2 linked regions of the Drosophila melanogaster genome follow. The gene in region 1 interacts genetically with each later gene. Each region holds a gene or a part of one and is shown in the gene's direction. Other genes may lie near its edges.

Evidence for each region.
Region 2: of PTPMT1 (region 1) and TER94, changing one suppresses a phenotype caused by changing the other (phenotypic suppression), as found in Drosophila melanogaster (one study listed by BioGRID).

The regions. Positions count from the first base shown.
Region 1 is NT_033777.3:23,756,706-23,760,416, forward strand, and holds PTPMT1 (protein tyrosine phosphatase, mitochondrial 1), read left to right. Parts: upstream 1-1,633; 5' UTR 1,634-1,811; coding exon 1,812-1,823; exon of another isoform or gene 1,824-1,852; intron 1,853-1,902; exon of another isoform or gene 1,903-2,069; coding exon 2,070-2,213; intron 2,214-2,272; coding exon 2,273-2,590; intron 2,591-2,652; coding exon 2,653-2,781; 3' UTR 2,782-2,901; downstream 2,902-3,711. Other genes in the region: Hrd3 (HMG-coA reductase degradation 3), read right to left, coding at 1-438, 492-933; SdhD (succinate dehydrogenase, subunit D), read right to left, coding at 3,017-3,218, 3,280-3,467, 3,540-3,655.
Region 2 is NT_033778.4:9,988,228-9,994,232, forward strand, and holds TER94 (transitional endoplasmic reticulum 94), read left to right. Parts: upstream 1-1,975; 5' UTR 1,976-2,070; coding exon 2,071-2,162; intron 2,163-2,243; coding exon 2,244-2,346; intron 2,347-2,432; coding exon 2,433-4,469; intron 4,470-4,535; coding exon 4,536-4,690; intron 4,691-4,756; coding exon 4,757-4,850; 3' UTR 4,851-5,332; downstream 5,333-6,005.

The DNA.
Region 1 (3,711 bases):
TTATCTTGGAAGCCACTTTTTTGGCTACTCGCTTGTAGTGGATCAGCGCCTTCTCACAGCTAATGGGCACATTGATGCCATAAAGATAGCGATACCCCATGGCCATTTGCGCCGGAGTATTATCACCGAGGGCAGCCAGGCTATAGTGGATCAGTGCCAGGGGCTGGCTTACATTTTTACCGCCAACGCCCACCGAATAAAGGAATCCCAGGCCCATGTGAGCCTCTGGGACGCCTTCGTTGGCCAGACTCTCAAACTCATCGACAGCATGGTTGAAATCAAAGTCCATCCATTGACCCAGTAGGGCGGCCCAGGCTAGTTCCGCCCTCGCCTTGAGGTGATTAAATGCAGCAGCCTTCTTAAGCAAAATCATGGCTACTCGCTTATCCGTGCTTGGCTTGGCCAACATGTCCATTGCGTTGTCGTACACGGTTTGAGCTGGAAAAATTGCAATCAGCAACTGCAAAACAAATAAAACGATGCCCACTTACCTTCTATTTGGTCTGGGGTAAGTTCTAACACTTCAGTGGATTTGCGTTTGGCTTCGATGCGCTCGATCTCGGCTTTCAGCTTTTGCCGCCTGATCAGACTTTCGTTCCACAGGCGTTCGAACAGGGAAGCCGGCATAACCTTCGTCCTGGAAGCAAACTTTGTGGACTCCTTGGGTTTGTCTGCCTTGCGTTCGTTGCTTTCCGACGGAACCCGCGACTCTGATTCCGCCGTGGTCACCTCCTCCGCCTCCGCCTGGGTGGAGGGCTCATTGGGCAGCGTTGGCGTGGCTGTTCCCGTGCCCAATCCCGTTCCCGTACCCGTACCTGTGGCCGAACCCAAACTGCTGCCCGTACCATCAATGTTGGGCCCTTGGAGCTCCTCCGCTCGCAGCTGCCAGGCGAGAAGCAGCGCCAGCAGGCACATCCAGCTGTTGGCCTTCATCGTCGCCTATCTGCCTTTCTCGATGGCAATGTGGATGTACAACGGCAATTTTGGTCTTCGCCTTTGCTGCGTCTATATGGTGCTCTTCCACTTCTGACGTGTTGTGTTATTTACTGTTTTCTTGGGGCGCAGGGTCGGCAAAAAGAGTGGATTGCTGCTTCTGGGTGGATTCGTTTGACTTACTGGTAGCTCATTTTGGCCACCTCGACTTGGTGGTGGTTGGAATACCTTGGTTCGGTTTCCTTAATTTTTCACACGTAAGATTCTTTTTAATCTTTTTTGTTGCAATGCTTAGTGCTGCGAACGGGCCGAGGTTTGTGTGCCAGTGCTGCAAAGCACCGCGTCTAAAACAGTCTTTTCCAGGGGCGTCTCCAAAAATATTTTCGCGAATTAAAAAGGAGTAATAAAATCGAGACAGGCTTATAAATATTTAGTCAGGACGATATCAAAACTTAATTACAACTTTTTTTTATTATTACAAGCTACATTTAATAATATTACAATTTGCCTAAGCCTGACGGTAAAACATAAAATTTTAAAAATATTTGTACATTTCTTTAAAACGTATATGCACCAAAATGTGGAAATTATGCTCAACAATTATTTCCCGGGCAACTGCGATAGTTAACGTCTAGAATGTCTTACCCCGAAAAATTCCCAGGGCTTGCTAGCTACGCCCCTGGATTTTCCGGCTGTTGTTTCGTTATGCAAAGGAACGCGCAGAGTTTAACCAGAAGGAAATCTGAATTGGAACTGTTGACGCGCAATCGAAAGTGATAATTACGAGCGGGAATAATTAGAATACGAGGAAGATTTCCGCCCGTGTGAATCACCAACTTTTGTCTCGTCCAATCCAAGTCAGCCACTGAGCAGCCGGCATGGAGATGAGTGTAAGTAGAAGCTGCGACCTGCGTGCCAGACACCCAGACCCAAAAGTCACAGCCCAAAACCAAATTGAAAACCGAAACCAGTTCCAACCCGCGCTTCAACCGAGTGAGTCGCACAGCGAATCACTCTTCGAGCTCAGCCGTTAGTGCTGGTGAAAGTTACAGCTGTTGCGTTCGCTACGTTCGCTACCTAGTAACCGCCACCTGTGCCCCGATTCCTAATCCTCCAGTCGACACCTGTTATTTCAGGCTGCCATGTTCGCACGCGTTTCCTTCTACCCCACCCTGCTGTACAATGTCCTGATGGAAAAGGCATCGGCCAGGAATTGGTACGATCGCATCGATGAGCATGTGATACTGGGAGCACTGCCCTTTCGCAGCCAGGCCAATGACGTAAGTATCCCCACGGAACCAAGCCTGAAATCCTTCTAAATCCTTGTTTAACCGCTCAGCTCATTGAAAAGGAGAACATGAAGGCGGTGGTGTCGATGAACGAGGACTATGAGCTGACCGCCTTCTCCAACAACACGGAGAAGTGGCGAAAGCTTGGCATTGAGTTCCTGCAGCTGGCCACCACCGACATCTTTGAGTCGCCCAATCAAGAAAAGCTCTTCCGCGGCGTGGAATTCATAAACAAGTTCCTGCCTCTAAAGCAAAGAATTGGTGGCCTAAGTTCCTCCTACCAGCCGGAGAACGTGGGTTCTGTCTATGTGCACTGCAAGGCTGGTAGGACGCGAAGTGCCACTTTGGTGGGATGCTACCTCATGATGGTGGGTTGGTTATCTATTTGCACGTAGCTCTTAAAAAAAAGCTCACAACTTATCCTTTGCAGAAGAACGGATGGACTCCGGATCAGGCGGTTGACCACATGCGTAAGTGCCGACCGCACATTCTGCTGCACACCAAACAATGGGATGCCCTCCGGTTATTCTACACAAACAATGTGGAGACGAAATCATGACCAAACCTGGACAATAGCCCAAATTTATTGTTTACAGTAGATTACCATACGTAACAAAGGTGGTGCCTGTTACCCAACTACTTTAGTGCTGATTTTCTTGTTGAATATACAATTTTCTACAAAACCCGCTCTGTGCAGCTGTGACTTTTTACAATTCTTTATTTAATGCTTATCGCGAAACTATGAATAAATAACTGGTGTTTCGTGGTTCATCAACTGATTGCTCCTTTGACATTTAAGCCTTCTCGGCATCCTTGCCCTTGATGGCCCAGAAGCGCTTGATACCATTGGCCAGACCCACATCATTTTGGATGAAGTAGAAGAGGCCGCCCAGCGTGGCCACCGAGATGATGATCAGCGCAATGTGGGCTACCTTGGGCAGGACGTTTCCAACGACAGATGGCCGCATGTAGTCAACTACCATGGCCTCCACGCCCCTGCGTTTGGTGAATGAGGAAAATATAAGTAAAGGTTTAATTTTCCTCAAGGATATCTTACCAATGGGTGTGGATGACGACAGAGATGGCCATGAGGGCGTCCAATACCTGGGATGGAGCTATGAAGGCAGCTGGAATGACGGCCAGTAGGCCGGCGGACACAATTCGCTCCACAGTCCAGAGCAGGGTGTGGCTGGATCCAGCGGAAGCCATGCGGGGCGCACTCACGGAGATCTCGCGCACGACGGGCTGCATAAGCAGTCGAGGATTACCATTTAGTATGATTAGCCACCACTGAATTTTTCAACTCTAAACACTTACCGCTACAATCTTGGCCACGGCCAGGGGCTGGACCACCGCCTTCCGCTGGACATTGGCCACCAGGGTGGAGTAGCTCTTCAGGGGAGTGATGCGAGCCGACTTAACAAGATTTGCGGCTAATTGGGATACCAACAAACGGTTTGGTTATATAATGAAAGCTGTTTTGCGTCCA
Region 2 (6,005 bases), on another chromosome or scaffold:
AAATCGTGTGAATAAATCAGAGCTAAAGACGTCGGACTGTACAGCAGAGTTTGGTGGAAAAGAGAGAAAAGCGAGGAGAGCGCTGTTTGCATCATACACCGCAATGAATGAGTGCCCCATAATTGTGACTTTGGGTCTGAGGCGGTTCCGCTGCCCTGCCCCCCGCTCTTCGCTGCTTCCTGCGCCGCGGAAGGCGACGGCCATCTTTATCAGCCACCCCGACTCCCCACTCCTCTTCATCGTCACCCTCATCGTCACAAAAACTGGTTTCCGCTCGCCACTTTCTTTTGCTCTCTGCGCAGGCGCTCTTCGAAGACAAGAGACTTGCAGGCGATTGGTTGAATTCGTTCTGCGTTTCTATGGAGTTTGCTCCCATTCTTTTGGGGGCAGCGACCACGCCCAATGACGCTGCTCTCCTCTCTGCCGACGTCGCTGTCACTCTCTTAAGTACTAAAAAATAAAACTGAAAGTAAAGCTAAATAAAACGCTGCCATAATTGGCATCGTTAATGCCAAAACCATGAATACTAAAAAGTTTTTACGAGCATAAGCTGCGATTGAGCAGTTATTGTAGGGACAGGTTGATGGCCGAGTGTTCTAGGGAAATGAATGAATGAAGATTTTTTCTTACTACCAAAACTTCTACAACTAAGTGAAATAGACGGATTGAGTTCTACATACTTCCTACATATATTTTAGATATAGACATAGCCGAAAAGTATGCTGCACTTTTTCAATAAAAACGTAAGCAGCTACGTTATCACGCATGGCTTCATAGCAGCGATCATCTGCCAGCGAGCATAGCCAAGTTAGGCACCTGCACACATTGCCACTCTTTCCTTTAGCGTTGCCACTTCAATTTCTTTTACAAACCATCGCAGCGTGTAATCGATATTTTCTAAGCCCAATCGATGAATGTCCGGTAACGCACATCACCAATCTGTTTCTGCTGCCTCATCTTTGAATTTGACTAAAAGTGCCGATTTCCAGCTCAACGAATAGTCCAAGTCGCGCCGAATTGTACAATTAAGTTAAAAAGTTCAACGTCAACTAGTTTATCATGGCAGATTCCAAGGGGTAAGTGAACTGGACGCCGAAATAGGCGCCGACTGTGTCGGTCCAAGTCGAAATTCACAAATTTCGCTCAGTCATTGAGCCGAAAAAAATACGCAAGGGCCACATCGCAGACATACTATTATTTAATTGTGAAAGGCTTTCGCCGATTTCCGCGAGACAAAGACATTTACCGCGACTTTTCCACTGCTCGGTTGCAAAATGTTGCGAAACTAGGGCAAACCTAAAAACCGAAGAAAAAAAAACGCCAGCGAGAATCGCCATTTGCAGTACGTTGTTGTTGTTGTTGGTGTTACTGCCCTTGCAGTTGTTGTTGCCGCTTGAAAACTTACGATTTCCCTTTGTTGTCCCAAAAATACAAGTCATCCTTTGCTGGAGGATACAATTTTCCGGTTGTTGTAGTTATAACTTTGGATACGAAAAACAATACTGCATACATATATGGCAGCTATTTCTATAATAAATCGCGAAAATCCTAAACTATATGCCGAAACCACTTATTTCAATGCTACCTATTAGTAATACCTTTTTTGATATTGCATTAATTCTAGAAAAGTCTTTGTGCTCCCTCAACTCGCCAGAAGTAAAAAAAAACATATCGTTTAAGTAACAATAAATGCATAATTTACCTCAAAGTTTAGAAATTATTATAACAAATGGCGCCAAAAAAGTTGGCATCGAATACAAGAAATACAAACATACTTTTATAACTAAAGACAATAAACAATTGTACTATTATTCCGATTAATATAGATTTTTATGAACGATATAGGGTGATAACCTTTTATGTTCAAAAATCTATCAATAAAGATTGATCGACATCATCACGTTAGCAACGAAAAATGATTCGGCAGGCCTAATTATCCAGATGCTTAGTTCCATTCCGTATTACTAGTGAAAGTAGTTTCCATAAATTTATCAAAACTAACAAAAAAGGCAATCCAAAAAAACAAAAAAAAAAACAAAAAAAACAATGTCTGGCGGCAAGAACGATAAGATGGATCATGATGGGGATACGAGGGACTTTATGCGGGGATATCACAGCGAGCAGGATGAGAAAATGAAGCCGAAAGACTCGTTCGATAAGCGGTTAGGCCAAATTATATATAAGACATAAGATATTTCTTTAGCGACGAGTCTTACGCGATGCTTTTTTCTTCTACCCTACAGTGAAGATCTGGCTACGGCGATCCTGAAGCGCAAGGACCGTCCCAACCGACTGATTGTGGAAGAGGCGCAGAATGACGACAACTCTGTGGTGTCGCTATCGCAGGTAAGATTCACTCTCCCAAAGGCCACGTCATCGCATGGCTAATTCACATGACTTGGCTGTTCTTTTTCCCCCTTAAACTATATCAGGCGAAGATGGATGAGCTGCAGCTCTTCCGTGGCGACACCGTGATTCTGAAGGGCAAGCGCCGAAAGGAGACGGTGTGCATCGTGCTCTCGGACGACACCTGTCCCGACGAGAAGATCCGCATGAACCGCGTGGTGCGCAACAACCTGTGCGTCCATCTTTCAGATGTGGTTTCCGTGCAGTCCTGCCCGGACGTCAAGTACGGCAAACGGGTGCGCATCCTGCCCATCGACGAAAGCACCGAAGGCGTTACCGGCAACCTGTTCGAGATCTATCTGAAGCCGTACTTCCTAGAGGCCTATCGGCCAATCCACATGGGCGACAACTTTATTGTGCGCGCCGCCATGCGTCCTATTGAGTTCAAGGTGGTGCTGACCGACCCGGAGCCCTACTGCATCGTAGCTCCCGAGACGGTAATCTTCTGCGACGGTGATCCAATTAAGCGCGAGGAGGAGGAGGAGTCCCTAAACGCCGTTGGCTACGATGATATCGGTGGTTGCCGCAAGCAGCTGGCCCAGATCAAGGAGATGGTTGAGTTGCCTTTGCGGCATCCATCGCTCTTCAAGGCCATTGGTGTGAAGCCACCGCGTGGTATTCTTATGTACGGTCCCCCGGGTACCGGTAAGACCCTGATTGCCAGGGCTGTGGCCAACGAGACCGGAGCCTTTTTCTTCCTGATTAACGGACCGGAGATCATGTCCAAACTGGCCGGAGAGTCGGAATCGAATCTGCGCAAGGCCTTCGAGGAAGCCGAGAAAAACTCGCCGGCTATCATCTTCATCGATGAGATCGACGCTATTGCCCCCAAGCGTGACAAGACCCACGGTGAGGTGGAGCGTCGCATTGTGTCGCAGCTTTTGACCCTGATGGATGGCATGAAGAAGAGCTCCCATCTGATCGTTATGGCTGCTACCAACAGGCCCAACTCCATTGACCCGGCCCTGCGTCGCTTTGGACGTTTTGATCGTGAGATTGACATCGGCATTCCAGATGCCACTGGACGGCTGGAGGTGCTGCGCATTCACACCAAGAACATGAAGCTGCATGATGATGTTGACCTGGAGCAGATTGCTGCCGAATCCCACGGACATGTGGGCGCTGATCTGGCTTCACTCTGCTCTGAGGCTGCCCTTCAGCAAATCCGTGAGAAGATGGACCTCATCGATTTGGAAGACGATAAGATCGATGCCGAGGTGCTGGCGTCGCTGGCCGTGACAATGGAGAACTTCCGCTACGCTATGACCAAGTCCAGTCCATCGGCGCTGCGTGAAACTGTTGTTGAGGTGCCCAACACCACCTGGACAGACATCGGAGGTCTGGAGAGCGTCAAGAAGGAATTGCAGGAGCTGGTGCAATACCCAGTGGAGCATCCGGACAAGTTCTTGAAGTTTGGCATGCAGCCCAGTCGCGGTGTCCTTTTCTACGGACCCCCTGGTTGCGGTAAGACGCTGCTGGCCAAGGCCATTGCCAACGAGTGCCAGGCGAACTTCATCTCAGTCAAGGGTCCCGAACTGCTGACCATGTGGTTCGGCGAGTCTGAGGCCAACGTGCGCGACATCTTCGATAAGGCCCGCTCGGCGGCTCCTTGTGTGCTCTTCTTCGACGAGCTGGACTCGATCGCCAAAGCCCGTGGCGGTAATGTCGGCGATGCTGGCGGCGCCGCTGATCGTGTGATCAATCAGATCCTTACCGAAATGGATGGCATGGGAGCCAAGAAGAATGTGTTCATCATCGGAGCCACCAATCGCCCGGACATTATCGATCCGGCCATCCTCCGTCCGGGCCGTCTGGATCAGTTGATCTATATTCCGCTGCCCGACGACAAATCGCGTGAGGCTATCCTGAAGGCTAACTTGCGCAAGTCGCCGCTGGCCAAGGAAGTAGACCTTACCTACATCGCCAAGGTGACGCAGGGCTTCTCTGGCGCCGATCTGACCGAGATCTGCCAGCGGGCTTGCAAGCTGGCCATCCGACAGGCCATCGAGGCTGAAATTCGTCGCGAGAAGGAGCGCGCCGAAAATCAGAACTCCGCGATGGACGTAAGTCATTTAGCTTAGCGCAAAAAATAAGAATGTTTATGTTTGACTATTTACCCATATAATCAGATGGACGAGGACGATCCAGTGCCGGAGATTACTAGCGCCCACTTCGAGGAGGCCATGAAGTTCGCTCGCCGTTCGGTGTCCGATAATGACATCAGGAAGTACGAGATGTTTGCCCAGACTTTGCAGCAGTCCCGTGGATTCGGACAGAACTTCAGGTGAGAATTGAAAGGCATTTCTTGTTGGAATCCAGGTTACTGATGATAGTGTATATGTTATTGCAGATTCCCCGGTCAAACCGGCAACACCTCAGGATCTGGTAACAACTTGCCAGTTAACTCGCCCGGCGACAACGGCGACGATGATCTTTACAGTTAGATTTCTAGTTTTACACCGCAAAACAAAACCACAAAATGGAACTTTTTAAATGAATTTTTTCCGTAAAACCGAGCAAGCAAAACCAATCACATTCGCATCCTGGACGCGGTAACTTACTACAGCAACCATTGGCTAAGACATCCAGCCGATGGCGAAATCAGATGACATACCCGATTCAATATTCACTTCTTTGATACCATCCTTACTCTTGGTCGCGGATACGTGCAGTAGGAGAAGGTTCCCATTTGGATTTGGGCTCGCCTAATCCGAAACCATTTTAATTGGCGAACTATTCCGCGCCTCACACTAATCATTCGTGCATTGTCGGTAGAGTGGCTCCGATATATGAGTTTCTATAAACATAATTATTAACGATACACATACACACATACATTTAAAGATAAATACATATATTAAACACCGTAAAATTATAAGTGTATTTGGAGCTACATTTTTAAGTGAATAAAAATTATAAATTCAACAAAATCATGTGCTTTAAATTGAAGAAATATTGAAAAATAGACGCAACGAGGTAATTGGGTGTTGAGATTAAAGAGCAAGAGTTACATAATCAATTATTTATTTTTGATAAGGTTCACTAGCAAAGTGGAACGTTGCTTTATTTTAACTGATCATTGGCCACAGTGCAATAAAATGCGTAATAAATTAAATTGGTCGGTACTCGTATGAGTGCAGTGAAAAAATATGTCTTCGTGCCTCGATTTCTGCAAGTCCAATTTAGTCATCAAGAGTACTAACCAAATCCATACTGTTCCCATTTGAAAATATCATTTCATTTGTTTTATCGCATTTATTAAACTTGTATTAATTCGTCATGTTTGCTTTTTCTGGTTTTCAATTGTTTTTTCACTTTTATTTTTATTAATTCTTTGCGACATAACAAGGACATCTTAATATGAAGTTAGTTGAATTCTTTCATATTTAAATAATCATTATCGCTTCGGTCTTATAAATAAACTTTCTTTGCCATTCTTTTAACCGCTCGTTAATTAAATCAATGTTTTGGCATCGGTAAATGATAATAAGGGAAATAATATTAATAATAATGTTAATGGCAAAAGCAGGAAACTTTGAATTTGATTGGCTTTTTAATGCGTTATTGCAGCTTCTTCGGCGCTTAATTTAAATGAAATG